2 linked regions of the Macaca fascicularis genome follow. The protein of the gene in region 1 interacts with the protein of each later gene in a pairwise test. Links are inferred from orthologs where the notes say so. Each region holds a gene or a part of one and is shown in the gene's direction. Other genes may lie near its edges.

Region 1 (15,211 bases):
GCAGAACAAAAGGAGTCCAGGCATGCAAAGCGCCTTAGATCACCATCCCATCCCAGTTCCACAGTGTCTTTTGATGGCTGTCCTTGGGGCCTAGCACAGTCTCACATAGGCCAGGTTCTCCAAATGTCCTTCATCAATGAGATAATGGAATACAGCAGGAAGGGAGGAAGGAGAAGAGAGTTCCAGCACACATCACAGTGTGATCCACCCAGAATTTTTCATCCTCACTGAGACGGGGCTGGGATTCAGTAGCATCATACAGCATCCAAGGTGAATCTTCATCCACCCATTCATTCAGCTATCCATCCACCCACCTATCCATTCAGTCTTTTGCTCATTCACTCTTTTTTTTTTTTTTTTTTTTTTGAGATGGAGTTTCACTTTTGTTGCCCAGGCTGGAGTGCAATGGTGCGATCTCGGCTCACCGCAACCTCCACCTCCTGGGTTCAAGCAATTCTCCTGCCTCAACGTCCTGAGTAGCTGGGATTACAGGTGCATGCCACCATGCCCAGCTAATTTTTTGTATTTTTAGTAGAGACAGGGTTTCTCCATGTTGACCAGGCTGGTCTCAAACTCCCGACCTCAGGTGATCTGCCACCTCGGCCTCCCAAAGTGCTGGGATTACAGGCATGAGCCACTGTGTTCTGGCCTCATTCACTCTTTTAATTAATTTATTGACACCTACTGTGTGTCAGGCAAGATGAATGAGAGTCCTTTCCCCTGAGGAATTTATAGTTTAGCAGGGACACTCATACGAAAATCACAAAACTGAATAAGAAATGCTATAATGGGCCAAGCGTGGTGGTTCATGCCTGTAATCCCAGCACTTTGGAAGGCCGAGGTGGGCAGATCACCTGAGCTCAGGAGTTCGAGACCAGCCTGGCTAACTTGGTGAAACCGCAACTCTACTAAAAATACAAAAATTAGTCAAGCGTGGTTGTGCACGCCTATAATCCCAGCTACTTGGAGGCTGAGACAGGAGAATCACTTGAACCCAGAGGCAGAGATTGCAGTGAACTGAGATCCCGCCATTGCACTCCAGCCTGGGTGACAGAAAGAGATTTTGTCTCAAAAAAAGGAAATGCTATAATTGCAGCAGGACTTTCAGAGAGTGGAGTGTAGAGTGTGGTTCTGCTTGCAGGGGAGTGGGGATGAACCAGAGATGATTTCATCGGGGAGGGGACATTTGAACTTGTTGAAGGATGGAGTGGGAATTTTCCCAAATGGAAAAGGCAAGAGAGGATATTCTCATTGGAAGGAGAGGCCAGAACGTAGGGAAGAACATGACGGTTTCGGGAACATGAGAAAGGCCAAACCCAAAATAGGAGGGCTCTAAATATCCAGCTAAGCTGTAGATGATGAGGGCTTCGTCTAAGGTGGTGGTGATGTGGGTGGAGAAGGGGGAAGGTGGAAGAGATAGCTAGATTTGTATTCTGCTAAAGAGACTTGGAGGAACTCTTTCTCCTCATTATTTACCTCTTACTTCCTGAGCTGGTAGAACTCAATAAACTCTTTAACCTCAGAGGGGTCATAACTGATAAGGGTCTTTCAGGAAATGACCTAAAAGCAAAGCAGACTCTGTCTGCTTTCAAGAATAGAGACTTCTGGCCAGGTGCGGTGGGTCACACCTGTAATCACAACGCTTTGGGAGGCCGAGGTGGGCGGATCATGAGGTCAGGAGTTCGAGACCAGCCTGACCAACATGGTGAAACCCCGTATCTACTAAAAATACAAAAAATTAGCTGGGCATGGTGGCACGTGCCTGTAATCTTAGCTACTCGGGAGGCTGAGGTGGGAGAATCGCTTGAACCCGGGAGTCAGAGTTTGCAGTGAGCTGAGATCGTGCCACTGCACTCCAACCTTTGTAACAAGTGTGAAAATCCATCTCAAAAAAAAAAAAAAAAAAAATAGACTTCTGCCGGGCGCGGTGGCTCACGCCTATAATCCCAGCACTTTGGGAGGCTGAGGCAGGTGGATCATGAGGTCAGGAGTTCAAGACCAGCCTGGCCAACATGGTGAAACCCCATCTTTACTAAAAAATACAAAAAAATTAGCTGGGCATGGTGGTGGGCACCTGTAATCCCAGCTACTCGGGAGGCTGAGGCAGAGAATCGCTTGAACCCAGGAGGTAGAGGTTGCAGTGAGCTGAGATCACGTCACTGCACTCCAGCCTGGGCAACACAGTGAGACTCCATCTCAAAAAAAAATTAATAATAATAATAGAGACTTCCAGAGCCATCTAGCCCCAGAGCTGGGGTCTACTTCCTCACCCTGCAGGTGGGGAAACAGGTCCAGAAAGAGCCTTGTTCAGGACCTCCCTCCTCCCAGGCCAGGACCCTTGTACCATCATCAGACAGTGAATATCCACCATTGGATGTGATCACGATGAGGCTGGGCAACCCCATCTCGGAAGTCCAGAGGGAATTTTTCCAGCTTGGAAGTGGTTGGATGGATCTCCAAGGCCCTCACAATACTCAAGTCTTGTGAGCCTGGAGACCTCAGAGATTTCCAGACCTTCTAAGATGTAGGAAGAGAAATATAGGTCAAAAAAAAAAAAAAAAATCAGATGAGCTTAGACTCTTGGTTTCTTTTATAATTTTGTTTCTGAAAAACACCTCCTTTTTTTTTTTTTTAAAAAAGACAGAGTCTGGCTCTGTCGCCTAGGCTGGAGTGCAGTGGTGCAATCTTGGCTCACTGCAACCTCCACCTCCCAGGTTCAAGCAATTCTCCTGCCTTAGCCTCCCAAGTAGCTGGGATTACAGGCGTCCACCACCGTGCTCTGCTAATTTATTTATTTATTTTTTCTTTTTTTGAGATGGAGTCTTGCTCTTATTGCCCAGTCTGGAGTGCAGTGGCGCGACCTCGGCTCACTGCAACCTCCAACTGCCAGGTTCAAGCGATTCTCCTGCTTTAGCCTCCAAAGTAGCTGGGATTATAAGCACATGCCACCACACCTGGCTGATTTTTGTATTTTTAGTAGAGACGGGGTTTCACCATGTTGGCCAGGCTGGTCTCAAACTCCTGACCTTAGGTGACCCACCCACCTTAGCCTCCCAAAGTGCTGGGATTACACGCATGAGCCACTGCTCCTGGCTTAGTTTTTGTATTTTTTAGTAAAGACAGGGTTTCATCATTTTGGCCAGGCTGGTCTCAAACTCCTGACCTCAGGTGATCAACCCACCTCAGCCTCCCAAAATGTTGGGATTACAGGTGTGAAACACTGTGCCCAGTCAAAAACTCCTTTTTGAGCTGGGCACAGTGGCGAGAGGGTATAGTCTCAGCTACTTGGGAGGCTGAGAGGCCTCAAGTAGGATCAGGAGGATCCCTTGAGCTCAGGAGTTCAAATTCAGCCTGGGCAACATACAGCCTGTCTCTAAAAATAAATAAATGAGCAAAGAAAGAAAAGAAAAACACCTTTTCAGAAGCAATAATGCAACAACATTATAGGAATTTTTAAAATAGTGTATATAGTTTTTTCAGTGTTGTCCCCACTCATGCTGAGGCCGGCGCCCCATTATGGGAAATTTAATTTGTACAATAATCCTAGGAGGTAGATTCTATTAGTATCTCTACTTTACAGGTGTGGACACTGAGACTGGTAGATGAAGTATCTTGAGCAGGAACAGCCAGCTATTAAGCGACAGAGCCCAGCCTCATAGAGTTGTTAAGTTATGCTGATTCACAGTGCAATGTATCCTCAACAAATGATAGCTATTATTATTTTCCAAGTTTCTCCAGTGAAAGTGTATGTTTTTATAATAAGGCTGTGACTTCCCCAATAAATGTTATTTAAAAAAAAAAAATCAAACGAGCAGGGCGTGGTGGCTCACGCCTGTAATCCCAGCACTTTGGGAGGCTGAGGCGGGTGGTTCACGAGGTCAGGAGATCGAGACCATCCTGGCCAACAAAGTGAAACCCCATCTCTACTAAAAATGCAAAAATCAGCTGGGGGTGGTGGCATGTGCCTATAATCCCAGCTACTCAGAGGCTGAGGAAGGAGAATGGTGTGAACCGGAGAGTCGGAGATTGCAGTGAGCTGAGGTCACGCCACTGTACTCCAGCTTGGTGACAGAGTGAGACTCTGTCTTGAAAAAGAAAAAAAAAATCACTCGACTTGGGGCCGGGCGCAGTGGCTCATGCCTGCAATCCCAGCACTTTGGGAGGCTGAGGTGGGCGGATAACGAGGTCAGGAGATGGAGACCATCCTGGACAACATCGTGAAACCCCGTCTCTACTAAAAATACAAAAAAATTAGCTGGGCGTGGTGGCGCGTGCCTGTAGTGCCAGCTACTCTGGAGGCTGAGGCTGGAGAATCTCTTGGACCAGGGAGGTGGAGGTTATGCCGAGCCGAGATCGTGCCACTGTACTCCAGCCTGGTGACAGAGCAAGACTGTGTCTCAAAAACAAACAAACAAACAAACAAAAACAACTGGCCTGCCAGGTTAGAGGGCTCCCATTTTCCTTCCAGGAACTAGATGTTTGCTGAGTGTCTGCCTGCTGCGGAATCTCCAGCCAGGCCCTGGGTGGGAAGAAGGGATGGGGTAAATCCTGGTGCCTGGGTAAGCCACTCATGATCTGGTTCTTGCTGAGGCACGAATCAGAGGGCAGAGCACAGCAGGGCTCATGAGGCCAGAGCTCCTGCTTCCCACGCTTGCTTATCTCCCAGAGCAAGGTGACAGCATGAAGTTGTTACTCTCCCTGACCATGGGTCCAACCCCAAAAAACACTTGGCCCCAGCATGATCTCAGTCTTTCTCATCTTCATATACCTAAAACCTGAGAAAACTTTCTGGGAGCAGCTCAGCAACAAGAGAGCTCCTCCTACCTCCACTCTCCAGTCACACTTTCTGCCCAGACTACTCCCTTGGCAGTAGGTCTGTACTACCTGCTTCGTCAGCTTATCTATGCCTGCCTTGTTTACCAGAGTGAAAGTTTCTAGGAAGAGCATGGAGTCTTGAGGCTGACCGTTCTGGGTTTGAATCCACTTCTGCTTCCTGCCTTTATAATCTTATGCAAGCCACTGTACTACCCTGAGCTTCAGTTTTCTCATTTGTAGGTTTCTTTTTTCTTTTTCTTTCTTTCTTTTCTTTTCTTTTTTTTTTTTTTTGAGACGGAGTTTCGCTCTTGTTGCCCAGGCTGGAGTGCAATGGGGTGATCTCAGCTCAACGCAACCTCCACCTCCTGGGTTCAAGCGATTCTCCTGCCTCAGCCTTCCTGAGTAGCTGGGATTACAGGCATGAGCCACCATGGCTGACTAATTTTGTATTTTTAGTAGAGACGGGGTTTCTCCATGTTGGTCAGGCTGGTCTTGAACTCCCGACCTCAGATGATCCGCCTGCCTCAGCCTCCCAAAATGCTGGGATTACAGGCGTGAGCCACTGTGCCGGGCCCTCATCTGTAAATTTCATGTTACCATTTGACTTGGAAGGCACTCAGTAGTGGTAGCTTTCTTTAGCTTCCAATTTGCATACAAAGAATGCCGTCCACTTTGGGAGGCAGAGATGGGTGGATCGCTTGAGCTCAGGAGTTTGAGACCAGCCTGGGCAACATGGCGAAACCCCGTCTCTACAAAAAAAAAAAAAAAAAAAAAAAAAATACAAAAACTAGCTGGGCATTGTTGTGCGCACCTGTAGTCCCAGCTACACTGGTGGCTGCGATGGGAGGATGGCTTGAGCCTGGGAGGCGGATGTTGCAGTGAGCAGAGTCTACCCTTCCCTGACAATGTGGTAGGCTAGAAAGTCAAATGGAAAAAAAAAAAAAAAAAAAAAGCACTCTGTGTTGTTCAGAGAAAGGGCTTTTGAACCTGGGCACCAAGAAGTGAGTGCCTGAGATCAGAACTCATAAACTGCCAGACCATCACAGCTGAAAGGGTGGAGAGATGATGATGATGATTAACAGCAGGAAACGTTTTTGAAAAAGTGCTCTCTACAGGTGTTTTTGTTTGTCTCGGCTTTCCCCTTTAAAATCGTGTACTTTGCAATATCTTATTTAATCCTCACGGCAACCCAGTGGGGGTGAGTATTATCACTGTTTTACAGATGTAAAAACTAAGGTGTATAAAGTGTCCAAGAACACACAGTCAGGAGCCAGGACTCCTAATTCCAGAGTTCGTGCTCTTAACTGCCTTTAGCTGCTTTGGTGACTGAGTCTAATCCAACAATTTTACAGATGAGGCTCAGGGAGGGGAAATTGTCTTACCCAACTTTTACGCAAGGGAAATAGAATTTGGGCCTCCCTTCCGGGCGCCAATCTGGACAAGGAATTATCACAGAAACTCAGATTTAAGAAACATTTATTAAGTAGTTGCATCATTGCAATCCATCCTCAAAGCAGCCTCCGCTAAGTATTATAGTACTTCGTGTTACAACACTGATCATATGGGGAAATAAGCTAAGAGGGATAATTCCCCCCAAGATCAATTTAGCAAAATAGCGGCACTGTCGGGATCACACATTCAGGTTCAGAGGCTTCCAGCAGTTTCAGCAACCTAATCCCAGGTTCCTCCTTCCTGCACCTGTGGGTATGAACGAACTCCCCCATCCCCGGACCTGGAGCCCGCTCAGAGCGGTGCATTCTGGGATTCGCCCGCGAAGAATGCCGACTCTTTGGGCCAATAGAATCCGAGCATAGGCGACTGTATCCACCTTCGCTGTCTGCAGGTTGCTCAGGCCTCCCTCAAACTAGCCAATGAGAAGTGCACGGGTCCTGGTCGCCTAGGAAACCGCGTGACAACAAGATGGCGGCGCCGCGGGACGGCTAGCGGCCCTGCGTGGTGAGTCTGGCCCAAGACTTTTCTGCCCCTAGAGTCCTCTCGCAGGCTGGAGCCCGAGCCCCTAGAGCCCCGTGGGCCTGCGAGCTCCGCGGCTCCCACAGGAGGGGTTCGGGACCCTGCTTACCATGATTACTCGTGGAGGGGGAAGGAGGCGACACGGCTTCCAGGGCTGGGTTAGGTCGTGATAGACGTCTCTCCCTAAACGCGTCCTGGGGGCATTAGGGAGTGACGGCTGGCTGCGGGCCGGACCGTGTCCCCGCCAGAGCTCTGGGCCCTGGGGATGACGGCTAGGCCGAGGAGGTGTGAAGAAGAATGTTGTGAGTCAACCACAGCACTGAGTTTGGTCCCAGAGATGTAGAGGCATGGTACACAGCTTTGCTCTCAGCCAGATCTGAAGTGGGTGACAACTCTGCGTTAAGGAGCTTTTGGCCTGAGGGGTAGTCACAGTCCTGCCCTTGGAAGCCCCAAAGTGAAGGAGGTAGACGACTCTGTCCTCAGGGCTCCCTAATCTGAAGGAGGAAGAGACACGCCCCTGCCCTCAGGAGTCCCCCCAAACGGAAGGGGAAATGCAGCCTTTGCCCTCAGGGTCCCCTGTAATCTGGGAGAAGATTAACCTGGAGACAATGTGTTGGATTGGACTGGAGTGACACTGGAAGTAGGGAAGTCAGTTGGGGGCCACGTGACAGCTCCCAGAATGGGCAGTGAGTTCCACTAGGATAGCTGACAGTGGGCATGGAAAGGGGCAGCTATGTGTGAGACAGTTTAACCTGCAGGGTTTGGTGTAAGAGGAAAGATGGCGTAAGAGGGAAGGAAGGAGAGAAAAATGCTGTGGTTGGGTGATGGAGTCCCATTAAGAAGGGGGAAGGGGAGGAAGTGAGTTTGACGAAGATGTTGAATTTGGTTTAGGAGTTTTTTGTCTTTTGTTTTTCCCCCTGTGACAGCTTTATTGCGATATAATTCACGTACTACATACTTCACTCCTTTAAAGTGTAAATTTCAATCGTTTTTAGTATATTTTAGTATATATTCCATTTATATGAAATGTGCAGTATGGGCAAGTCTATAGAACAGAAAGTAGATTTGTGGTTGCCTAAGACTGGCTGGGAAAAGGGGTGGGGGCTGGAGAGTAAGTGGTGACTGCTAGAGGGTACAAGGTCTTTTTAGGCTGATGAAAATGTTCTAAAATTGTGGTGATGGTAGTACAGCTCTGTGAATATACTAAAAACTTAAATTTACACTGTAATAAGGTGAAATATGTGAATTATGTCTCAAAGCTGTTTTATGAAAAAGGTTGCATACTGTATAATTACATTTATGTAACTTTTTTGAAGTAATATAGAGATGGGCCGGGCGCGGTGGCTCACGCCGGTAATCCTAGCACTTTGGGAGGCTGAGGTAGGAGAATTGCTTGAACCTGGGAGGCAGAGGTTGCAGTGAGCCGAGATCGCGCCATTGCACTCCAGCCTGGGCAACAAGAGCAAAACTCTGTCTCAAAAAAAAAAAAAAAAAAGAGGCCGGGCGCGGTGGCTCAAGCCTGTAATCCCAGCACTTTGGGAGGCCGAGACGGGAGGATCACGAGGTCAGGAGATCGAGACCATCCTGGCTAACACGATGAAACCCCGTCTCTACTAAAAAATACAAAAAAATAGCCGGGCGAGGTGGCAGGCGCCTATAGTCCCAGCTACTCGGGAGGCTGAGGCAGGAGAATGGCATAAACCCAGGAGGTGGAGCTTGCAGTGAGCTGATATTCGGCCACTGCACTCCAGCCTGGGCAACAGAGCGAGACTCCGTCTCAAAAAAAAAAAAAAAAAAAAAAAAAAGAAAAAAGGAAAGAAAATAAAAAGAAAATTAGAGATGGAAAATAACGTACTGGTTGCCAGTGGTTAGGGCTGGGGGAGGGGTGCAGGATGGGTGTGACTATAAAGAGGGCCATGCGGAAGATCTTGGTGGGGCTAGAATAGTTCTATATTTTGATTGCAGTGGTAGTTACCCATGTAACTTGACCTATGTGATTTAATCTACCCATGTGATCAAACAGCATAGAACTATACATACAAACTGTAGAAAAAATGTCAATTCCTGATTTTATTTTATTTTATTATTTTTTTTTTGAGACGGAGTCTCGCTCTGTCCCCCAGGCTGGAGTGCAGTGGCGCGATCTTGGCTCACTGCAAGCTCCGCCTCCGGGGTTCACGCCATTCTCCTGACTCAGCCTCCTGAGTAGCTGGGACTACAGGCGCCCGCCACCGCGCCCGGCTAATTTTTTGTATTTTTAGTAGAGACGGGGTTTCACCGTGGTCTCGATCTCCTGACCTTGTGATCCGCCCGCCTCGGCCTCCCAAAGTGCTGGGATTACAGGCGTGAGCCACCGCGCCCGGCCTAATTCCTGATTTTAATATCATACTGTAGTTATATAAAATCTAACTATTGGCTGGGCACAGTGGCTCATGCCTGTAATCCCAACACTATGGGAGGCCAAGGTATGTGGATTCACGAGGTCAAGCATTTGAGACCAGCCTGGCCAACATAGTGAAACCCTGTCTCTACTAAAAATACAAAATTAGCTGGGTGTGGTAGCATACACCTGTAATCCCAGCTACTTGGGAGACTGAGGCAGGAGAATCACTTGGACCCAGGAGGCAGAGGTTGCAGTGAGCTGAGATCGCGCCACTACACTCCAGCCTGGGTGACAGAGCGAAACTCCATCTCAAAAAACAAAACAAAAAAATGTGTTGAGGGGAGCTGGGTAGAGGATACAAAGGATCTTTCTGTACTATTTTCCTAATTTCCTGTGAATCTATAATAACTTTCAAATAAAAAGCTAAAATATAAGTGAAAAACAAACTGAAGAGTTAGCTGGCCAAGGGAAGGGTGCAGGTAGGGGTGGGGAGACCATTCTGGGAGTGGGGGGGTTGAGGTCGAGGCAGGCGGGATACAAGTGCATTTGAGATATTGCTAGCAGTTCCGGTGGCTCAAGTGTGGGAGGCGGCAAGATGGGAGATGAGGTCAGGAGACATAAGCAGGGACCAGGTCACCTATATCAAGGAATTATGAACTTTTTTTTGAGATGGAGTCTTGCTCTGTCACCCAGGCTGGAGTGCAGTGGCGCAATCTCTGCTCACTGCAACCTTCGCCTCCTGGGTTGAAGCGATTCTCCTGCCTCAGCCTCCTGAGTAGCCGGGATTACAGGTGCCCCCCACCATGCCCGGCTAGTTTTTGTATTTTTAGTAGAGATGAGGTTTCGCCATGTTGGTCAGGCTGGTCTTGAACTCTTGACCTCAGATGATCCACCCTCCTCCGCCTCCCAAAGTGCTGGGATTACAGGCGTGAGCCACCACGCCTGGCCAGAATTTTGAATTTTTTTCCCTAGGTGAGAAATGCTGGAATTATAGGCATGAGCCACCACTCCCGGCCTGCTTTATGTTTTAAGAAGATCTCTCTGGAGCACATGGGAACTAATGAAGGGAGCCATGAGGGGCTCTCAGACTTGGCCATACAACCCATGAGGCTGCCCAGAAGGGCAGGGGGCTGGGGCAGGGTGGGGGTGAAGAAACTCTGGGCCTGATCCTTGAGGAGGGCTCCTTCCAAGGAAGGGGCAGGTCATGATTCTCAAACTCTGCAGTGAAGGCATTGGAGGCTGCCTCCAGGCAGCATGGATTCCCTTGCTGACTGGCTTCAGAAGTAGGGCTGAGGCCAGAACCAGACATTTTCAAAGTGGAGCTTGCTTGGATTTGTCCTAAAAAATTTGATCCAGGCCAGGTGCGGTGGCTCATGCCTGTAATCCCAGCATTTTGGGAGGCCCCCGAGGCCGAGGCGGGTGGATCACCTAAGGTCATTTACTGAATAGAGTAGTAGCCTTCGATTATGTCCCTCAGGTGCACTCCTCTTTCCAGAAGGAAGAGGGAATGAAAGGAAACTAACATGTAGGAGTGCCTCCTGTGGCAGCAACAGCAAAAACAGCAGCAGCCCCAACTCACATTTTTCAGTGCTTTGAGCTTGGCGCTGGGCTAGACCTCTGTTACCTCTGAATCTGCTCAGAACACTGCCTGTGCCAGTACTGTTACCCCCATTTTATACTAAAAGAAACTGAGGATGGGTTACTCCAGTGAGTGGCAAAACCTGGCATCTTAACCTTGGCGTCACCTGGACTGTGTCTTTTTTTTTTTTTTTTTGAGATGGAGTTTCGCTCTTGTTGCCCGGGTTGGAGTGCAATGGCGCAGTCTCGTCTCATTGCAACCTCCCCACCTCCTGGGTTCAAGCGATTCTCGTGCCTCAGCCTCCCAGGTAGCTGAGACTACAGGTGCATGCCACCACGCCCAATTAATTTTTGTATTTTTAGTAGAGATGGGATTTCACCATGTTGGACAGGCTGGTCTCAAACCACTGATCTCAGGCAATCCACCCACCTCGGCCTCCCAAAGTGCTGGGATTACAGGCGTGAGTCACCGAGCCCGGCCCACATAGACTGTGTCTTGATTGAATCCTGCCTGTGGGTTGCCCTCTCTGGCTCTGAGATGTTGGTAGTGGCACCAGGTTTCTGGTGGAAGGGAAGGAGACACTTGGGCTTTGTGTCACCCAGCTGGCTAATGGACGGACAGCCTCCTGGGTGGTAGCATTTTCAGACTCTAAGTTTGGGAAAGTTCCAGGCTTCTGACTCATTTCTGCATCCCATCCACCCTCACAGTCCTTTCCCAAGAACCACCAGGCCAAAGGTCTCACAGTTCAGAGCAGAGAGCCGTATACCCAGAGGAGCAGGCAGATAACAGAAACTTCCAGAAACCTCTGTGGGGACAGTGGAAGCGGCAAAAGGTACTGCAGCCTAGACAGTGCTTCCCATTAGGAAGAGTAGCCAGGGATGTGGAAACTTCAGACTACCCCCTGGGATTGAAGCCCTGAGTCCATCCCCTCTGTCCCCAAGGGCTGACTTCCTGCATTCCTCTAGGGAGTTCCTGACAGCTGGATTCTAGAAGTAGAACTATGAGCTCACCTTTGGCCTCCCTTAGCAAGACCCGGAAAGTGCCCCTGCCCTCGGAGCCTGTGAATCCTGGGTAAGGAGCCAGCCTCAGGGGTCTTTCTGTCCCTGCCTTCCATCCTTCCATGGCCAGAGGACAATGACTCCTAGTGTCTTGGGGAATACAAATAAGGGCCACATAGCCTTCTCTGACCACTGTCTTTTTCTTTATACCTTCTTCTGGGGTGCCCAGCTTTGGATCTGAGCATAAACTGGGTTGTGCTTTTAATAAGGTATGGGCCCTGGAGGAGTGGCTTGGCATCCCATCTGTTCATTCACTGTTCATTGATTAATTCTGCAAACACAGATGGTGTATGGACGTATCCTGGGCCAGGCCCTGTTTGGGGTTCTCAGTAAAGGGAATCTTTTACATCTGTCTTGCACTTTCATGTTTTCAAAACATTTTTTACCTCTCTTCCTTCTTGCTTTTCGGAATACCACTTTGAGTCTTTTTTTTTTTTTTTTTTTTTTTTTTGAGACGGAGTCTCGCTCAGTCGCCCAGGCTGGAGTGCAGTGGCCAGATCTCAGCTCACTGCAAGCTCCGCCTCCCGGGTTTATGCCATTCTCCTGCCTCAGCCTCCCAAGTAGCTGGGACTACAGGCGCCTGTCACCTCGCTCAGCTAGTTTTTTGTATTTTTTAGTAGAGACGGGGTTTCACTGTGTTAGCCAGGATGGTCTCGATCTCCTGACCTCATGATCCACCCGTCTCGGCCTCCCAAAGTGCTGGGATTACAGGCTTGAGCCACCGCGCCCGGCCTTTTTTTTTTTTTTTTTGAGAGCATGTCTCGCTCTGTTGCCCAGGCTGTGGATTGCAGTGGCATGATCTCAGCTCACTGCATCCTCTGCCTCCCAGGTTCAAGCGATTCTCCTACTTCAGCCTCAGTAGCTGGGACTACAGGTGCGTGCCCCAACGCCTGGCTAATTTTTTGTATTTTTAGTAGAGACGAGTCTCACTGTGTTAGCCAGGATGGTCTCGATCTCCTGATCTCGTGATCTGCCCACCTCGGCCTCCCAAAGTGCTGGGATTACCAGCACTCTAGGTGTGAGCCACTGCGCCTGGCCCCACTTTGAGTCATTCTAAGGCCTAGAAGATTCAGAGAGGTTAAGCAACAGGCCTCACAGCCTTTGCAGAGCAGAGCTGGGGCTGAACTCGTGGGCTTTGCAAGTCTTGTAGTCTTCCCACTAAGACTCTGCTCTTCACCCCTTCCCCATCCTTCTCCACTGGGCAAAGTGAGTCATGTTGAAGCCTGTCCCTTGTCTCACCCCAGGCTGGGGCTGGGATTTGGGGCTGGAAGTCCTCAGGAGGTAGAGGCCCCGCTTCCATCTCTTTGAGTTTTGACTGAAGTCCGGTGCCCAGAGCCTTATCCCTGGTATCATTCCAGGGGCCCTAACTTATATTTCTTCCTTCCTCCTGCCTGGGTTTCCAGGAGGCGAGGAATCCGCATCTACGGGGATGGTAAGTGTGCCCTGCCCTCATGCCCTCTTCGCCTCTCATGTGCTCGCACCTCCTACAGTTGGGCCAATGGAGAGAAATCACAAGGCCCTTGTCAGCTGGAGCAGCGGCCTACATTGTGTTATCTGCAGCTCCCACACTGTCCTCTCTGAGGGCTGGGCTTCCCTCCTGGAAGCTCTCAGATTAGGAGGCCCCATACCCTTGGCACAGTTGTTGCCACTCACATTCGAACCCCTTGACCCACTGTGGGACTGGCCAGTGTGTGCCTAGAAACCACGTGGGGGCCAAGAGATTACCCAGCCCAGGGGTCGGGATCCCAGTCCACCTTCCCCCTCCAGCCTCTTCCAGCATGACAGCCGTTTCTCCCAAGAGGCCTGTGCACACATTGCCACCCTGACTCCTGTAGCTCAGGCCTTTGGATCCCCACCCCCCAACACCCCACCATAGCATTGGCATTGGCTATGCAGGTCCCTCTGGGAGCAGAACTGGAAGAACTACAAGAACAGCCCCATTCTGGTTGGGTCCTTGCTCCCCAGCCTTGTGAATTCTCTCTCCTCAAACTCCCTGGGGCATACTGCATAGGCTGCGTCACACTGGCCAGGGCCCAGGGCGTGAGTTTCCTCTGGGCCTCGGCCCCAAAGCAGTGACCTGGGCATCCCTGTCTGCAGAAGATGAGGTGGACATGTTGAGTGATGGGCGTGGCTCAGAAGAAAAGATCTCAGTCCCTTCCTGCTATGGCGGCATAGGTGCCCCTGTGAGTCGGCAAGGTGAGAGCAGAGGCCCGAAGGGTCTGGGTCCTGGCTGCAGGAGGGGGCCCCAGAGAAAGAGCAAGGCCTGGGGAGGCATGGCCCTTCCTCTCGCCTGTTTGGTCTGAGGAAGCTGCTCCCACTCCTGGCTGACGGTGGCAGGGCCCTGGCTTTGCGTAAAGCCACACAAGCCCCACCCTTAGCTCAGGAGGCCTGGCCCAGCCCCAGCCCCAGGCCAGGCTGTGGCTGTAGTTGCCAGGTATGATATCAGTGGGCTCAGGATTCAGGGTCAGAGAGGGATAAAGAGCCTGAGGGTAGAGCTCAGCCTCCTGCTTCTGCAGGGCTCTGGCAAGGCGCAAAGTTGCCTGGACAGTCCACTTAGCTTGGCAGAGGGCTGTGGCAATGCTGAGCTCATGGAGGCACCTAAAGTGGGATGAAGCTGATCAGGGTGGCTTCCCAGAGAGGGGATTTAGCAAGTCCGAGAAAAGGGGAGACATGGGCAGGCAGGGATGAGCTGTGCAGAGTGCTGGGCGGGATCTGGGGATGCTGGGGATGAGGTTAGAACTTTCCACTAGCTCACTAGCTGTAGTATCTTGAGCAAGCAACTTTGCATCTCTCTGTCTCTTGGGGCCTCCTCTGTGAAGTGGGCATGGGAACAGCGAGGGCAGCGTGTTGGGAGGATTCGATGAGATGCTCCTCGGTGGAAGGCCCCTGGCCAGTGCTTGTTACATGGGGTCCTCAGCGTGGTGGCTGCCCATAAGGAGGCCAGCCACAGGGAAGGGCCTGATGATCCTCCACCAGGCCCCCTCCATTTTACCGGCAGAGGGGATTGAGGTGGAAAAGGAGACAGGAAGAGCCTGGCCTAAGGTCCTGCAGCCAATTCATCACAAAGCCAGGATCTCCTATACCCTGACTAGGGTCAACTTTCTTTTTTATTTTATTTTTTTTTTGAGACAGGGTTTTGCTCTGTCATCCAGGCTGGAGTGCAGTGGTGTGATCACAGCTCACTGCAACCTCAGCCTCCCAGGCGCAATCAGTCCTCCTGCCTCAGCCTCCCAAAGTGCCGGGATTACAGGCATGAGCCACTGTACCCAGCCAGGTCACTTTCAGTAGTAACCATGGCAACCAGGTTCTCTCTTTGAAAAAGCTCCAGGTGTCCTCTCCCTGCTTTCCCCTGTCATCCCCTCCTCTCCCACTCCCAGTCAATATCTGTCCTTACCAAGGTAGATG
Region 2 (15,187 bases), on another chromosome or scaffold:
TCATCTTGAAACATGGAGCAGCATTCATCCCTTCAGTTTCCAGCTGCTCATCCTCTAGCACTCTCTTCAGGGCTTTGTCCAGCTTTGTTTAGCTCTGGGTGCGTGTTGACTGCAGCGTACCCAGAATGGGTGTGAGGGCAAAAAGGGTATTCTCACTTCCTTCCCGTCCTACGAGAGCCGAGCATTTTCTAGCCTTGGGCCACTCTAACTTGTTGGACCAGTGTTTTCAGAAAACAATCTGCAGGGACTCTTAGGGCCCTCTCTGGAGTTATGACTAAGAGTGGGAGTTATGACTAGCCCATCCCCTAGAAAATAGGTTAGATTCCCTTGCCCCAAGCTGATGACCTAATAAATGCATGACAGCATAGAGACACATCCATGAAGTGTGCCAACCTCTCTAGCCCACCTGTATTATTCAGGGTTCTCCAGAGAAACAGAACCAATAGGGTGTTTAAGAGAGAAAAGATTTATTTGAAGAAATTTGGGGCCAGGCATGGCAGCTAACACCTGTAATCTCAGCACTTTGGGAGGCCAAGGCAGGAGGATCACTTGGGCCCAGGAGTTCTAGACCAGCCTATGCAACAGAGGGAGACCCCATCTCTACAAAAAAAATTTAAAATTAGCCAGATGTGGTGGTACACACCTGTGGTCCCAGTTACTCAGGAGGCCAAGGTGGAGGATCGCTTGAGGCCAGGAGTTTGAGACTATCCTGGGCAACATAGCAAGACCCCACCTCTACAAAAAAGAAAACAAAAAAATTAGTTCATGCAGTTGTGAGGCAGACAAGTCCAGAATCCTCAGGGCAGGTGGACATGCTGGAGATTCCTCCTTGGAACTTTGAGATTTCCTGTTGTGTCCTATTGTTAGGTATTGGGAAGAATGTCGTTTGCGAGAAGGCAGCAACATCGGTGGATGCCTTCCGGATGGTGACAGCCTCGCGCTACTACCCACAGCTCATGAGCCTGGTAGGGAACGTGCTGCGCTTCCTGCCTGCCTTCGTGCGCATGAAGCAGCTGATCTCAGAGCACTACGTGGGAGCAGTGATGATCTGCGATGCCCGCATCTACTCAGGCAGCCTGCTGAGCCCCAGCTATGGCTGGATCTGTGATGAGCTCATGGGTGGCGGGGGCCTGCACACCATGGGGACCTACATTGTGGACCTGCTGACCCACCTGACCGGCCGGAGAGCTGAGAAGGTGCACGGGCTGCTCAAGACATTTGTGAGGCAGAACGCTGCCATCCGTGGCATCCGGCACGTCACCAGCGATGACTTCTGTTTCTTCCAAATGCTCATGGGTGGGGGTGTGTGTAGCACAGTGACACTCAACTTCAACATGCCGGGCGCCTTTGTGCATGAAGTCATGGTGGTAGGCTCTGCAGGACGCCTCGTCGCCCGGGGAGCTGACCTCTATGGGCAGAAGAACTCTGCCACGCAAGAGGAGCTGCTGTTGAGGGACTCGCTGGCCGTGGGTGCGGGGCTGCCAGAACAGGGGCCCCAGGACGTCCCGCTGCTGTACCTGAAGGGCATGGTCTACATGGTGCAGGCCTTGCGCCAGTCCTTCCAGGGGCAGGGTGACCGCCGAACCTGGGACCGCACCCCTGTCTCCATGGCCGCCTCCTTCGAAGATGGGCTGTACATGCAGAGTGTGGTAGACGCCATCAAGAGGTCGAGCCGATCCGGGGAGTGGGAGGCTGTGGAGGTGCTGACGGAGGAGCCCGACACCAACCAGAACTTGTGTGAGGCACTTCAGCGGAACAACCTATGAACCTGCACCTGGGCTCCTTGCCACAGGGCAGAGGGACCAGGGAGGGGAACAGGAGCCAGATGTGACAGGGGCTTGGCCCTAGCAGAGATGGTATCTTTCACCCTTAATGAGTCTGGGTGAAGCCAGAGGTGGCCCTGGGACTTCGCCCCCTCCAGCGACTCACCTGCTCCTCAGACTTGCAGGGTGGCAAATGTTCTTGTTGGCCAGGTTACCACGGCGTGCAGAGGGCAGAGCTGCCGCCGGGCCTCCTCATGGCAATGCCAGTGAGTGGGACTCGGAAAGGCTCACCCTGGTGAGCCCCTCAGCCTGATCCGCAGTCCTAATGGTGAGAAAGCACAATAGGGCCAGCTCGGCTGAGGCCCGAGGAGAAATGATGAGAAGTTTCATTTCCTTCTTGGGCTGGGACATCTCAGGAACAGTGAGGGCAACAAGCTGTCCCTCAGGGACCCTCACCTGCCCTCCCATGTGACCAGGCCCTTCCCAGGTGGGGACTGGGGCTTGCTTTATTAAGTGAGCTCTCAGGCTTTTGAAGTAGGACAGAGGGCCCTGATTTGGCAGAGAGGAGGCAAGGGAGGGCTTTAGAACATCTGAGAAATGTTAATAAATAATTGAGAAAATAGGACATGGCATGTGGTGTTTGTTTGGTAGGTTGGGTTTCTTTAATACTGAAAGGCTTGTTTCTTGCTGTAGGGGGTTTTTCTCTTCACTCATTGCTCCACAGCAGCTTGAAGCCAGCCGTGGGTCATCACCGTCAACTGTGCCACACGGGCTGCTGCCCCTCCAGCCCTCGTCTCCTACCTGTTCCCTCATAGCCAAATCCCAGGAGCCTCCGAAGAAAAGATTTCCTCAGAGAACAGGAGTCAGGACTTCCTGATGGGCTGCTGCTGCGCCTGCCGTCTCAGCAGATATCGGGAGAGTTTGGGGCCTCACTGGGCTGGAGGTCAGGAGGGGTTCTGTTCTTAATGTCATGGTGCTGGCTGCCAGAGTGCCCTTGAGGTGGCGGGGAGGAGTGGTTTCAGGGAGGTGGCACAGGGTGAGAAGTAGGAGGAAGAGCTCCAGGCATGCCCCGTGGAGCAGCTGTGACTGGACCTGAGGGCCAATCACCCACTGTGCTCTTGACTGTGCTCTGCACAGGGCCAGCCTTCTACCCACCTCCAGAAGCTGGGGTGGGGAGTGGTGATGAGAAAGGACACGCCCTCCCCATTGCGTCTTTGACCAGCCTGCCAGGCTCGTTCAGCCTGGACCGAGTTCTGTTCCCTTCTCTAACCTTCCGCCCACTTCCCTGCCCTGGGCTCCTTGCCAGAAAAGCCCAGGGAGGGCTTCCTTTTCCTCTTGGCACCTCTTCTAGAAGTCACCAGGCTTGTTTTCCTGTCATGTACTGGATTCAGATATCCTTGTGAGAGGGAATAACAAGGGATGGGGTTGGAGTGTGCCTACTGCATGCTGACCCTCAGGGCAAACATGTATGTTATTATTTCACTTAATTTCCAAACCACTCTCTGACGGTAAATATTCCCATCATTCAGATCATAAAATGGAGGCACAGAGGGCAAAGCTACTTGTCTCCTGTAGGTTGTCCATGATGGAGCTGGGAGCCTGGTCAGGACCATCTAACCGCAGAGCCTGACCTTGAACCACACTTCCTCCCAGCACTTGGGAGTCTTCACACCCGAGGGCCCGGCATTGCCTCTGCCTGCTGCAGAAGCCTTGGCCTGGCCTGAACTAGGAAGTGAAGTGCAGACAGCACCCACCACCAGGCAGGACACTGAAGGTTAAAGGGGAGGCTGCCCCCTTGTCCCTGGGACAGTTAGCTCAGCTCAGTCCTCCCATGTTGTTGCTAGGATGTTGAGGTTGCTCTGAAATGTGGGAATTGACCAGGAAAGCACAAGCCCGACTTACATGCTCCCACATAAGAAAGGGCCATGTGGCCATCCAGAATGGCACTTGGGTTCCCAGAATGTGCTGGGGCTTAGTGTAGAGCTACTTCAATGAGGATCCCGTTTCCTCTAAGGGAATCCCCAGAGCCTAGATTCATGGCCAGAGGGGTACATGGCCTCTTCCCTCAGATGTCTTTACTATCGAGTATCTCCTGGGTATCAGAGCTGGTCAGTCCCACATGGGATGGGGAAGACAGATGTGCTCAGATACCTGTGGCCAAGGGAGCCCACAGGGTTCTGGTCTCCATGCGGGACTGAACCCACACTGGTTCCAGACTTGTCCAGCAGTGCCCCCTCCTGGAAGAAGACAGCATCTCCCAGGACCTGTTTCCAAATCTCAGGATGTTACTAGCTAGCTCTTTCTCAGGTCAAAATAAAGTATTTCCAGAACAGTAAAAATGCAGTTAGCTTTGCTCATCAGATACAGCAACCAGAAGAGAACTTCCAGAATACCTGTTGCTTATTCTTCAACCTCCAGCCAAATCCAGGACTGTTTTCACCAAATCCAGAACTGTTTTCACCCAGACAGTGGCAGCCGCTTCCTTTCCTGTTCTGCCCGTCACCCTGCCGGCCAAGCAGCCTCTCCTGAACGCCACGCCAAGATCCCTCCCTGTCCACACCCCTCTTCCTCACCCCCGGACTTGCCCAACCTGGTTTCCATATGGCCGTGCCCTCCACTCCAGCCACACTAAGCAGCCCTCCTGCAGAGGTGGCAGCTTCCATACTAGCAGGGCTTTGTCCCTGGCACGTCCTCTGCCTGGAAGGCACCACCTCTCTCAGGAGTCAGCTGGAGGACTGCCTGGTCACCACTTCTGCCCTCGGCAAAGTAGCCACTCCCCAACCTGTGGTCCCACAGCCTTGGTCCTCAGTTGCACTGAGGTTGCATCTCCCTCCCTCCCTCCCTCTCTCTTTTTTCTTTTTTTTTCTTTTTTTTTTTTTTTTTTTTTGAGACAGAGTCTTGCTCTGTCGCCCAGGCTGGGGTGCAGTGGCCGGATCTCAGCTCACTGCAAGCTCCGCCTCCCGGGTTTAGACCATTCTCCTGCCTCAGCCTCCCGAGTAGCTGGGACTACAGGCGCCCGCCACCTCGCCCGGCTAGTTTTTTGTATTTTTTAGTAGAGACGGGGTTTCACCGTGTTAGCCAGGATGGTCTCGATCTCCTGACCTCGTGATCCGCCCGTCTCGGCCTCCCAAAGTGCTGGGATTACAGGCTTGAGCCACCGCGCCCGGCCTCTCTTTCTTTTTTCTTTCTTTCTCTCTCTCTTTCTTTCTTTTTCTTTTCTTTCTCTCTTTCTTTTTCTTTTCTTTCTCTCTCTCTCTCCCCCTTCCTTCCTTCCTTTATTCCTTCCCTCCCTCCCTCCCTTCCTTCCTCCCTTCCTTCCTTTATTCCCTCCCTCCTTCCATTCCTCTTTCCCTCTCTCCCTCCCCTCCCCTCCCCTTCCCTTCCCTATCCTCCCCTTCCCTTCCCTTCCCTCCTTTCTTTTCTTGACAGAGTCTCACTCTGTCACCCAGGCCAAAGTGCAGTGGCATCACCTTGGCTCACAGCCACCTCCACCTCCCGGGTTCAAGTGATTCTCCTGCCTCAGCCTCCCAAGTTGCTGGGACTGCAGGTGCCCGCCACCACACCTGGCTAATTTTGGGGGGGTTTTTTGTTTGCTTTTGAGACGGAGTTTCGCTCTTGTTGCCTAGGCTGGAGTGGAATGGTGTGATCTCGGCTCACTGCAACCTCCACCCCGCTGGTTCAAGCAATTATCCTGCCTCAGCCTCCCGAGTAGGTAGCTGGAATTACAGGCGCACACCACCACGTCCGACTAATTTTTTTGTATTTTTAGTAGAGACGGGGTTTCACCATGTTGGCCGGCTGGCTGGTTTCGAACTCCTGACCTCGTGATCCACCCATCTTGGCCTCCCAAAGTACTGGGATTACAGGCGTGAGCCACCGCCCCCAGCCTAATTTTTGTATTTTTAGTAGAGACGGGGTTTCACCACGTTGTCCAGGCTGGTCTTGAATTTCTGGCCTAAGTGATCTGCCCCCCCCCCCCAGCCTCCCAAGGTGCTAGGATTACAGGCATGAACCACTGCACCTGGCCACTTGTTTTGAATATGTAATTTCAACTTTTATTTTACATTCAGGGGGTACATGTGTAAGTTTGTTACATGTGTATACTGTGTGATGCTGAGGTTTGGGGACGATTGTTCTCATCACCCAGGTAGTGAACACAGTACTCAATAGGTTTTTTCAACACTCACCCCACCCCCTCTCTGCCCCCTCTCATAGTCTTGTGTTTGTGTTTCCCATCTTTGTGTCCATGTGTACCCAATGTGTAGCTCCCACTTGTGAGAACATGTTCTATTTGGTTTCCTGTTCCTGTGTTAATTTGCTTAGGATAGTGGTCTCAGCCGTTTCCATGTTGCTGCAACGGACACGATTTCATTCTTTTTTATGGCTGCATCATTTTTACTTCTTGAGACAGGGAAAAATGTTGCCCAGGCTGGTCTTGAACTCCCGGGCTCAAACTATCCTCCTGCCTCAGCCTCCCAAATATCTGGGACTACAGACACAGACCACCACACCCAGCTACACATGTCTCCCTAAATCATGTAGCATTGCCCCTTTACAGCGAGCTTCTAGGAGTAGTAGGGACTTGATCCTTTCTGCAGTTCCTGCCACCCACCCTGCTTAGACAAGTCCATTGGGTAATAGGCCTCAGGAATTGCAGACTAGTTCTCCCACGATTTCTAATTCCTGCCTCGCCTGTGAGAAGACAGGACCAGCTCTTCCTTATCAGTGCTGGCCTTGCTTACACTTCCAGCCCTGGAGGCTGCACAAAGATAGGGGGGCCTTCTGGGGTTAGGCCTTAGCCAGAGAGTCCCCAGGTCGGCAGATCCTGCACAACTGAGGACAGGGATTCCTAGATCCCAGGGTGTAGTCTCCTGCAAGGCCACTTCTCTCCAGGCCTCTGCCTTCCCAACCATAAAGCGAGGAGGTTAAGCTCCATTATCTTGGCTGGGTGTGTTGGCTCATGCCTGTAATCCCAGCACTTTGGGAGGCCAAGGAGGGAGGATTGCTTGGGGTCCAGAGTTTGAGACCAACCTGAGGAACACAGACCCTATCTCCACAAAAAAATTTTTTGGCCAGGCACGGTGGCTCACATTTGTAATCCTTGAGTCCGGGAGGTGGAGGTTGCAGTGAGCCAAGATTGTGCCACTGCACTCCAGCCTGGGTGACAGAAGGAGACCCTGTCTCAAAGAAAAAAAAAACATCCTGAGCCCATGGCTTGCCATGGGGCCAGTGAGCCCCCAAGTGACCCTGTCAAAGGAGGGAGCAGCCTGGGATGATGCCAGAAAGGGGACCCTGCTTTTCCCACCCGAACCTGCCCATCCCACTTCCTCCAGTGACCTTCCCAGGTCATATTCCAGGGAACCTACACATGACTGTGTCCTCGGGATGACCTCAGCCTTTCAGATTCCGGCATGTCCCTCTTTGCAACTTCCTCCACCCTCACTTCGGTCTCATCACCTTGGTGCCTTTTAGGGGGCCCTCTGGCTTGGTGGATGTGATGCAATGAGATGTGCCCTTAGGGAGCTCACAATCTAGCCCTGAAGACAGTTAAAACCCACATGATAGTAGCATGTAGGTGTTACAATGCAGGGCAACATGGCATGCTGTCTGCCTCCCCAGGAAGCAGGGTTTTCAAAGGTATATGTGCACTAGCCAGGGGGAGAGGTGGGAATAAAGGCATTTTAGGCAGAGGAAACCCCACATGCACAGAGTAAAGGGAGGAAAAGGTGTAACTGCTCAGGGAATTACAGGAAGCCACTGAGTTCTAAGGTAGCTGGGGCAAGAGAAGGGGAATCCCAAGGGGGAGTGACACCATCAGGGGCTCAGGTGTGTGTGTCGCAGGGCCACTGGATGGATCTGTGGGCCAAGGGACGACAGGCAGGGAGACCAGTGAGGCTGTCACCTGGAGATGACAGTGGTCCAGGCAACGGTGCTGACTGTGGGGTCCGAGAGGTTCTCAGCCTGAAAGGGTATGTTCACTGGCCTCAATGTCTGCTTAGCTTGTAGGAATCAGGGGGCAAAGAACAGGATGGAGTCTGGGGTGACATCCAAGATTCTAGCTTAAACAGTTGCGCAGATGAGATACAGGAGGAAAAGCCAGTTGGAGGGAGGGGAAATTATCCATGAACTTGAAATTCCGTGTGTCTGTTTGCGGTGTCCAAGGAACACACAGGAGGCCCAGGATGTGCAGTTTCCAAAATGGCCAACACTGGCTGGCTCTGGCAGCAGAGATCCCTGCCGGTTGTACACAGTTGTCATCCAGTGGCTTGGCCTCAGGGCCCCAGATGCACTTACTGCCCCTGCCCACCCCTGCCTGTCAGGAAAACATCACTGATGCCCTGTCACCTGTGACCAGGGGCTACTCCATGGACAAGGTCCGGTCCAGCTATGGTCTGGCAATGAGTGGAAAACATCCCAAAGCTCTCACTCCGGCGACAGGCAAAAGAACTCTGAGCTACCTCCTAGGATGATCCCAAGTTTTGATCCCCTCAAGGTGAAACCAAATGCAGGCCCTTCCCCAGGAGACAAAGAGTAGGGCCAAACACCTGCTTCCCATGACCCTACAGACCCTTTCTTTCCTCTGCTCCAAGTTCCTCCTCCTCACTTCCCTCTTCATCACCCAGTTAGCCGCCTGACCCTCAGATTCACCTAAACACACAGTACCAGGTCCACCCCAATTCAGTGAGGCATGGGGTGGCACAAAGGCATCTGTCATTGTCAAAGTCTCAGGAGATGCAGATGACCATTCAGGCCTCAAACCCTGCACTGTTGAGTCCTCCATCCTCTTTCCCAGTTCAGGAAACCTATCCGGGGAATCACAAAGTCTTTGAAAAAGAAAAATATTTATTTTCAGCAAGCCCAAAGTCCCAAGTGGGGGCAGGTGCCAAATTTGCCCCCTCCACCAGAGGGCCTAGGCCCACAGGAAGCCTGAAGCCAAATTCAGGCATGGAAGGAGGGGAGCCACCAGTGGGGCGGGACAGTCACTTGTACTGAGGAGAGAGCGGGGGGACAAGCGGAGCAGTGCAGACACTCAGCATCTTGTCGATGTCCACCTGGGTTGACTTATCCACCTCAGCCTTGTGGTGGTCACTCACCCCCAAGCTGGGCAAGCCCCCAGCCTCCTCTCCGAGGGGAGCCAGAGCATGGATGGGGGTCACTAATGGACTGGGACAGGGCAAAGCGAGGCCTGGGCCCAGCTCACCTGCCAAGGGCAGCAAGGCCTGCAGTTGCTCCACACCTGCCTCCTCAGGAACCAGGGCCAGCTCTGCCTCTGCCTCCACCTCGGCCTCCCCGTCCCCCTCCCCTGCCTGGTTCAGCTCGGGGTTGCAATAGTTGATGTACTGGTACAGGGGCCGCAGGCGCTGGGCCTTTCCTGCAAAGACCCAGGGCAGGGCAGAGGCTAGAGCGCCAGGTTGTGCCATGTCAGGCCCCACAGGGAGAAGGAACAGCCCAGGGACTGCCACTCACGCTCCAGCCCCAATGTCTCTAAGGGTGCAGACACCGTGCTGGCCACAGCGTGGAGCACGGGAGCCCCCAGGCTCTTGCGCTTCTTGGCTTTTTTGTGCTGTTTGGCAGATGGTGAGGGCTCACTCTGGCTGCCCTCTGGCTCCTCCTCCTGCAGCGGCAGCCTGGGTGGCAGCTCAGCTTCAGCCTTGGGATGGGCACGAAGGCCCGGGAGGCTGAGGGACCTGAGCCAGGGACAAGAGACCTGACGCAGGGAATACCCCAGCCTGCCCACCGCCCCAGGACTCGACGCCTGCCCCTTTCCTGGTCGATGAGGCCCCAGGCCCAAGAGGCTTAGAGGCCAGTGAGCCCAGTGCCCTACAAACCCTGAAGCTCCCACTCTCCTGCTGCTCCCTACATGGGGGCTCTGGAAGAACGGGAGAGGAGAGTGATGGTAGTGACAGGGGACAAGAATCCTTCCTGCAGGAGTGCAGGAATCAGGAATGCTACTGGGGTGTGTGCCCCAACCCCGGGCCTGCAGCTCCTTCCCCTCCTCCTCCCCCAGAGCCCCCTCACTTGACAGGCTTTCTCTTTGGACCATGACGGGGCCTCACAATGGAGACCACGGGCCTGGGGCCTCTCTCCTCTAGCGCCCCGGCTTCCGGCTTGGGCCTCTCCTCCCCCAGCTTGGGTCCTTCCTCCTGGAGCTCCAGCTCCGAAGCTGCGCCTGCTGGGCGCTGGTCTTCACCCTGGGTTCCGCGGGCCTCATGGGCTGGCACCAGGAAATGTTCTTCCGCCACTGGACACTAGAGGTGACACACAGGCCATCGGTCACCATGGTCGGGCAAAGGACATAGGGATCCGTCACTGAACACCTAACATTAGACACCGAAACGGGAATAAGGACACCAGCCTGTGCCCCTCCCCGCCTGGAGGGCCCAGCCTGGCAGTTAGCGGGTCGGGGCGCTCAGAGTTCCGCCTCTCAGAGTGCTGCGGCCCCCTGTTTGAAGGTTAAACAGCCTGACGGTCACCTCGGAGGTCTCAGCGCTGCCGGGGTCCTCCGCGAGCTGTCCCTGCCCCACGACCGTAGCCTCCTGGACCCCCGGCCGCCTCTCCGCCCCTGCCGAGGCCATGGCTGCGCAGGCTCAGTGCATCCTCCACAGCTGCTTGGGGAGGGCCCCGAGCGGCTGGATGGTGGCCCCGCGCTGACCCTGGAGACGGGCCAGCAAGCGAGGGCAGAGCTGGGAAGCGAAACCCGCGACCGCGGAGCCCACACTCAGCGGAAACTACAAGCCCCAGGACGCTTTGCGCCAGGGTCAGTGGGCCCTGACCCCGGGGACGGAAGCCACGGTTGCCCGGCAACAACAACTCCCGTCGGGTGGCAGCGGCTGGCGGCAAAACCTCTCGAGTGAGCCCCTGCCCAAGTGCCGCGGGGGAGAGGCCGCGAGCGGGACCGAGAAGTGGGCTGGGGGGAGAGGTCGCGGAGGCGGCGAGCGAGGCCGGGGCCCAGGCAGGGACCGGCAGGGGCCCGGGAGTGACGGGCACGCCAGGGTCAGGGTCCCAGGCGAGGGAGGAGGCCCGGGGTTGGGGAAGGGGGCCCGGGGAGGGAGGTGCACAGCCCTGCAGGCCTCGGGGCACCGTTGCTGGGCGGTGCCGGCGGCATGTGCGAGGGCCCGTCCCGCATCTCGGGGCCCATCCCCCCAGACCCGACGCTCTGCCCTGACTACTACCGGCGGCCGGCCTCGGGTGAGTCCGCGGGCTTGGCGGTGGTGCTAGGCTCAGGGGTCGGCCCCGACTCCACCTGAGTCCTGGACTCCGCCCGGCTCCGCCCCACAGCTCAAGGGCGCCTCGAGGGAAACGCGCTGAAGCTGGACTTGCTGACCTCGGACCGGGCCCTGGACGCCACCGCTCCCTGTGGCCCCCGCATCGGTCCCGGTGCCCGAGAGATCCTGGAGCGCGGCCGGCGCGGCGTCGGGGACGTGCTGTTGCAACTCGAGGGGATCTCCCTAGGTCCTGGGGCCTCTCTTAAGAGTAAGTCCCAGGAATGGAAGAAGGGGCAGAGAGGCAATGCGGGGTGGAAAGAGATCAAAAGCAGCTGCTCTTTCCGCCCTGACCTGGGCCCAGGCTTTGCATCTCTTGAGTCTCAGTTTCCCCAACTATAAAAGGGGGAGAAATGTGCTACCTTCTCGAAGGAAGTGAACTGAATAAGGTAGTTCCCACGAAGCCCTAGCTCTGCTTCGTGCATTTGTTTGTTTGTTTGTTTGTTTGTTTGTTTATTTATTTTTATTTTTTGAGACGGAGTCTCGCTCTGTCGCCCAGGCTGGAGTGCAGTGGCCGGATCTCAGCTCACTGCAAGCTCCGCCTCCCGGGTTCACGCCATTCTCCTGCCTCAGCCTCCCGAGTAGCTGGGACTACAGGCGCCCGCCACCATGCCCAGCTAAGTTTTTGTATTTTTAGTAGAGACGGGGTTTCACCGTGTTAGCTAGGATGGTCTCGATCTCCTGACCTCGTGATCCGCCCGTTTCGGCCTCCCAAAGTGCTGGGATTAGAGGCTTGAGCCACTGCGCCCAGCCTGCTCGTGCATTTATTACCCGTCAAATTTGTTTGTTGAGTGCCCACTGTGTGCCAGGCCATATAGGTGCTAGAACACAGGGTTGAAGATAAGCATGAGCCATCATTGAGTCAAGGTGGGAGACAAAGAACAGGAGATGAATGTCATATATGAGATGATCTATGGTATACTTCACTATAATAATGGAGAAAATCACCCGGACGCAGTGGCTCACTCCTGGAATCCCAGCACTTTGGGAGGTCCAGGCAGGCGGATCACTTGAGCCCAGGAGATGGAAACCAGCCTGGCCAACATGGTGAAACCCCATCTCTACAAAAAATACAAAAATTAGCCTGGCGTGGTGGCGTGTGTCTGTAATCCCAGCTACTCAGCAGGCTGAAGTGGGAGGATCCCTTGAGCGGGGGAGGTCAAGGCTGCAGTGAGCTGTGATCGTGCCGCTGTACTCCAGCCTGGGTGACAGAGCGAGACACTGTCTCAAATAGTAATAATAATAATGGAGACAGTCATCCTGAAATACTACATGAGGAAGGGAACTCTTTCTGTAGGAGGCAGGGGGCAGGCCTGTGTGTGAACTAGTGGAAGTTGGATTGTGTGGGCCCTATGTAGGGCAGAGACTGGTGGCATCTTTTCTCCAGGGAAGGACCCTAAAGACCATGAGAAGGAGAACCTGAGGCGGATCAGGGAGATTCAGAAGCGCTTCAGAGAACAGGAGCGCAGCCGAGAGCATGGACAGCCCAGGCCCCTGAAAGCTCTGTGGCGCTCACCCAAGTACGATAAGGTGGAGTCCCAGGTCAAGGCCCAGCTCCAGGTACCTGCTCCAGGGAGCCAGAAGTATTATCCTTTTTGTTGGCCAACAGGCAGCTATACCCTGATCCGAGTTCTGGGGAGGGAGGGAACTAAGAGACCCTGGCTCTGCTGCAGGGCGAGGCTGGGGGGCTTCTCAGAAGTGGTGATGGCGGGGCTGATCCTCAGGGGCAAGCAGCAGTTAGTCAAGGGGACAGCAGAGGAGAACATTCCCAAAAGATGGAAACTCACAGACCACAGGGCACGCAGCAGTGGAGATGCCAGGTGTACAGTTCACTGTGAGGAAAGAAAGGCGTGAAGTTAGGCCAAGAAGTCAGCTGGGCCCACATCAGGGGCCACAAAAGCCACTTTTCAGTCCTTATTTCTGAGGACAGTGGGAAGGGCAGGGGTATGGTGGGGGGCTCTGTCTCGGGTAGAGAGTAGCACCATCTTTCCATCCAGGGACTCAGCAGGAGGAGCAGGAGTGAGAGGAAAGGCAAGGTCACACAAATGTGTCTGGGCTGAAGCATCTGTGGGGCTCCCAGGGGGTGGGAGTGTGTCCAGGAAGCAGATGGAAATTCAGGCCTGGATCTCAGGAGTGAGACCCAGGAGTTATTGACGATCAGGTTGAGGACAACGAGACCAAGGAAGTGACCGCCTGGATTTGAGGACTTGGAGGCCAGCCGTCAGGAACGTTGCGGGGCTAGAGCCAGGAAGCTTGGCTAGGAAGGATGAAAGAGAGTGGTAGGTGGGCCAGTACTGAGGTGGAAGGAGAGATGGTTTGTTGTTTTCTTTTTTTTTTTTTTTTTTTTTTGAGACTGAGTCTGACTCTGTCGCCCAGGCTGGAGTGCAGTGGCCGGATCTCAGCTCACTGCAAGCTCTGCCTCCCGGGTTTTTTTTTTTTTACGCCATTCTCCTGCCTCAGCCTCCCGAGTAGCTGGGACCACAGGCGCCCGCCACTTCGCCCGGCTAGTTTTTTGTATTTTTTAGTAGAGATGGGGTTTCACCGTGTTAGCCAGGATGGTCTCGATCTCCTGACCTCGTGATCTGCCCGTCTCGGCCTCCCAAAGTGCTGGGATTACAGGCTTGAGCCACCGCGCCCGGCCTGTTGTTTTCTTAAAAATGTGACGTACTCACACGTTTGTGTGCTGATGAGGACAACTGTCTCTTGAAGAGGGAAGAGGGCCCGAGGGACACGGATGCAAAGGTCAGAAGGGCCAAGAGGGCCAGGGTTTTGCAGCTTGAGCCCCAGACCTCAGCCTGCCTGGTCTCTCTGCTGTGCCCTGCCCTCCAGGAGCCTGGCCCTGCCTTTGGGACAGAGTCTGCACACTTCCTGCGGGCGCACTCCCGCTGCGGCCCTGGCCTCCCACCACCCCGTGTACCTAGTCCCCAGCCAACACCACCAGGTCCCAAAGCTAAGGTGAGAGGATGTGTGGGGGCTGGATGGTGGCTGGGCAGGGTTCCTGGTGTGTGGTGGGGGTTCAGGGACACAACATAATGCTGTCTGCCCCCACCCACGCTTGCTGTGTCCTGCAGGAGCCAGGCCTGGGGGTGGACTTCATTCGTCACAATGCACGAGCTGCGAAGAGGGCCCCCCGGAGGCATTCCTGCTCGCTGCAGGTCCTGGCACAAGTGCTAGAGCAGCAGCGGCAGGCCCAGGAGCACTACAATGCCACACAGAAGGGCCATGTGCCGCATTAGTAGGTCTCACTGCCTGACACTCAGGGTGAGGGAGACACCTGTGGAGGGCGGGAACCAACCTCTGCCCTGGGGTCATCAACCCTGAACCTGTGTACCCACAGCTTGTTGGAGCGCAGGGACCTGTGGCAGCGGGAGGCTGAGGCTCGCAAGCAGAGCCAGCCAGACCCTGCCATGCCCCCAGGCCACACGCGCATGCCTGAAAACCAGCGGCTGGAAACACTGACCAAGCTGCTCCAGAGTGAGTACCTGGGCAGGGAGGCTGGAGGGGGACCCCACTGGGGACCAGGCACCCCTGCCCAACACTCACTGTTCTCACTGTTCCCGGGCCCCCTGTAGGCCAGAGCCAGCTGCTGCGTGAGCTGGTACTGCTGCCTGCCGGGGCAGACTCACTGAGGGCCCAGAGCCACCGTGCTGAGCTGGATCGGAAACTGGTGCAGGTAGAGGAGGCCATCAAGATCTTTTCTCGGCCCAAAGTCTTCGTGAAGATGGATACCTGAGCCCCTCTGAGGGACAGTGGCAGGGAGCTCCATGCTGAGGATCGCCACATGGCTGCAAAGGACAGAGTCGGACCCAATCCCAGAGCAGAGGTCTGAAGACAGGAGCGGGGGGTGGCCAGTGTCCCTAGAGCACTCCTCCCAGCCACCAGTGGCTGCAGAAGGGCCACCCCAGCCTTTTAACCGCTTTGCCAAAATTAAACCTTTTGTACACAGGATTTGTTTCCATAAGAGCTTTTTTTACCCTAAAAATGCCAAGCCTGGTGGCCCTCCTGCTGCTTGATTGCAGGAAGTTTTCCCCATTGTCACTCCGGACTTAGTCCAGAGCAGAAGACAAGCTGGTGGGACCAGGGAGGAGGCTGGGACTGGGACACAGAAGGACCAAGACTGTATTTGTAGAAAAACCTTTAATGTTCCCCAGGCTGAGGGAG

The links.
Region 2: the proteins of UBXN11 (region 1) and ENKD1 interact in binary tests that used the Homo sapiens proteins (3 or more experiments, as listed by UniProt). The two-hybrid records come from large-scale screens. The link is inferred for Macaca fascicularis from reciprocal best matches to the Homo sapiens genes UBXN11 and ENKD1.

What each region holds. Positions count from the first base shown.
Region 1 is NC_088375.1:208,828,444-208,843,654, forward strand, and holds the start of UBXN11 (UBX domain-containing protein 11), read left to right. Parts: upstream 1-6,726; 5' UTR 6,727-6,771; intron 6,772-11,455; 5' UTR 11,456-11,580; intron 11,581-11,713; 5' UTR 11,714-11,748; coding exon 11,749-11,819; intron 11,820-13,209; coding exon 13,210-13,238; intron 13,239-13,876; coding exon 13,877-14,002; intron 14,003-15,211. UniProt on the Homo sapiens protein: May be involved in the reorganization of actin cytoskeleton mediated by RND1, RND2 and RND3. Promotes RHOA activation mediated by GNA12 and GNA13.
Region 2 is NC_088394.1:63,698,091-63,713,277, reverse strand, and holds ENKD1 (enkurin domain-containing protein 1), read left to right. Parts: upstream 1-10,559; 5' UTR 10,560-10,867; coding exon 10,868-10,952; intron 10,953-11,042; coding exon 11,043-11,237; intron 11,238-12,413; coding exon 12,414-12,586; intron 12,587-13,855; coding exon 13,856-13,981; intron 13,982-14,097; coding exon 14,098-14,261; exon of another isoform or gene 14,262-14,265; intron 14,266-14,363; coding exon 14,364-14,500; intron 14,501-14,598; coding exon 14,599-14,759; 3' UTR 14,760-14,971; downstream 14,972-15,187. Other genes in the region: GFOD2 (glucose-fructose oxidoreductase domain-containing protein 2), read left to right, coding at 868-1,766; C20H16orf86 (uncharacterized protein C16orf86 homolog), read right to left, coding at 8,744-9,135, 9,231-9,807. UniProt on the Homo sapiens protein: Microtubule-binding protein which regulates microtubule organization and stability. Promotes the stability of astral microtubules and facilitates the proper orientation of the mitotic spindle.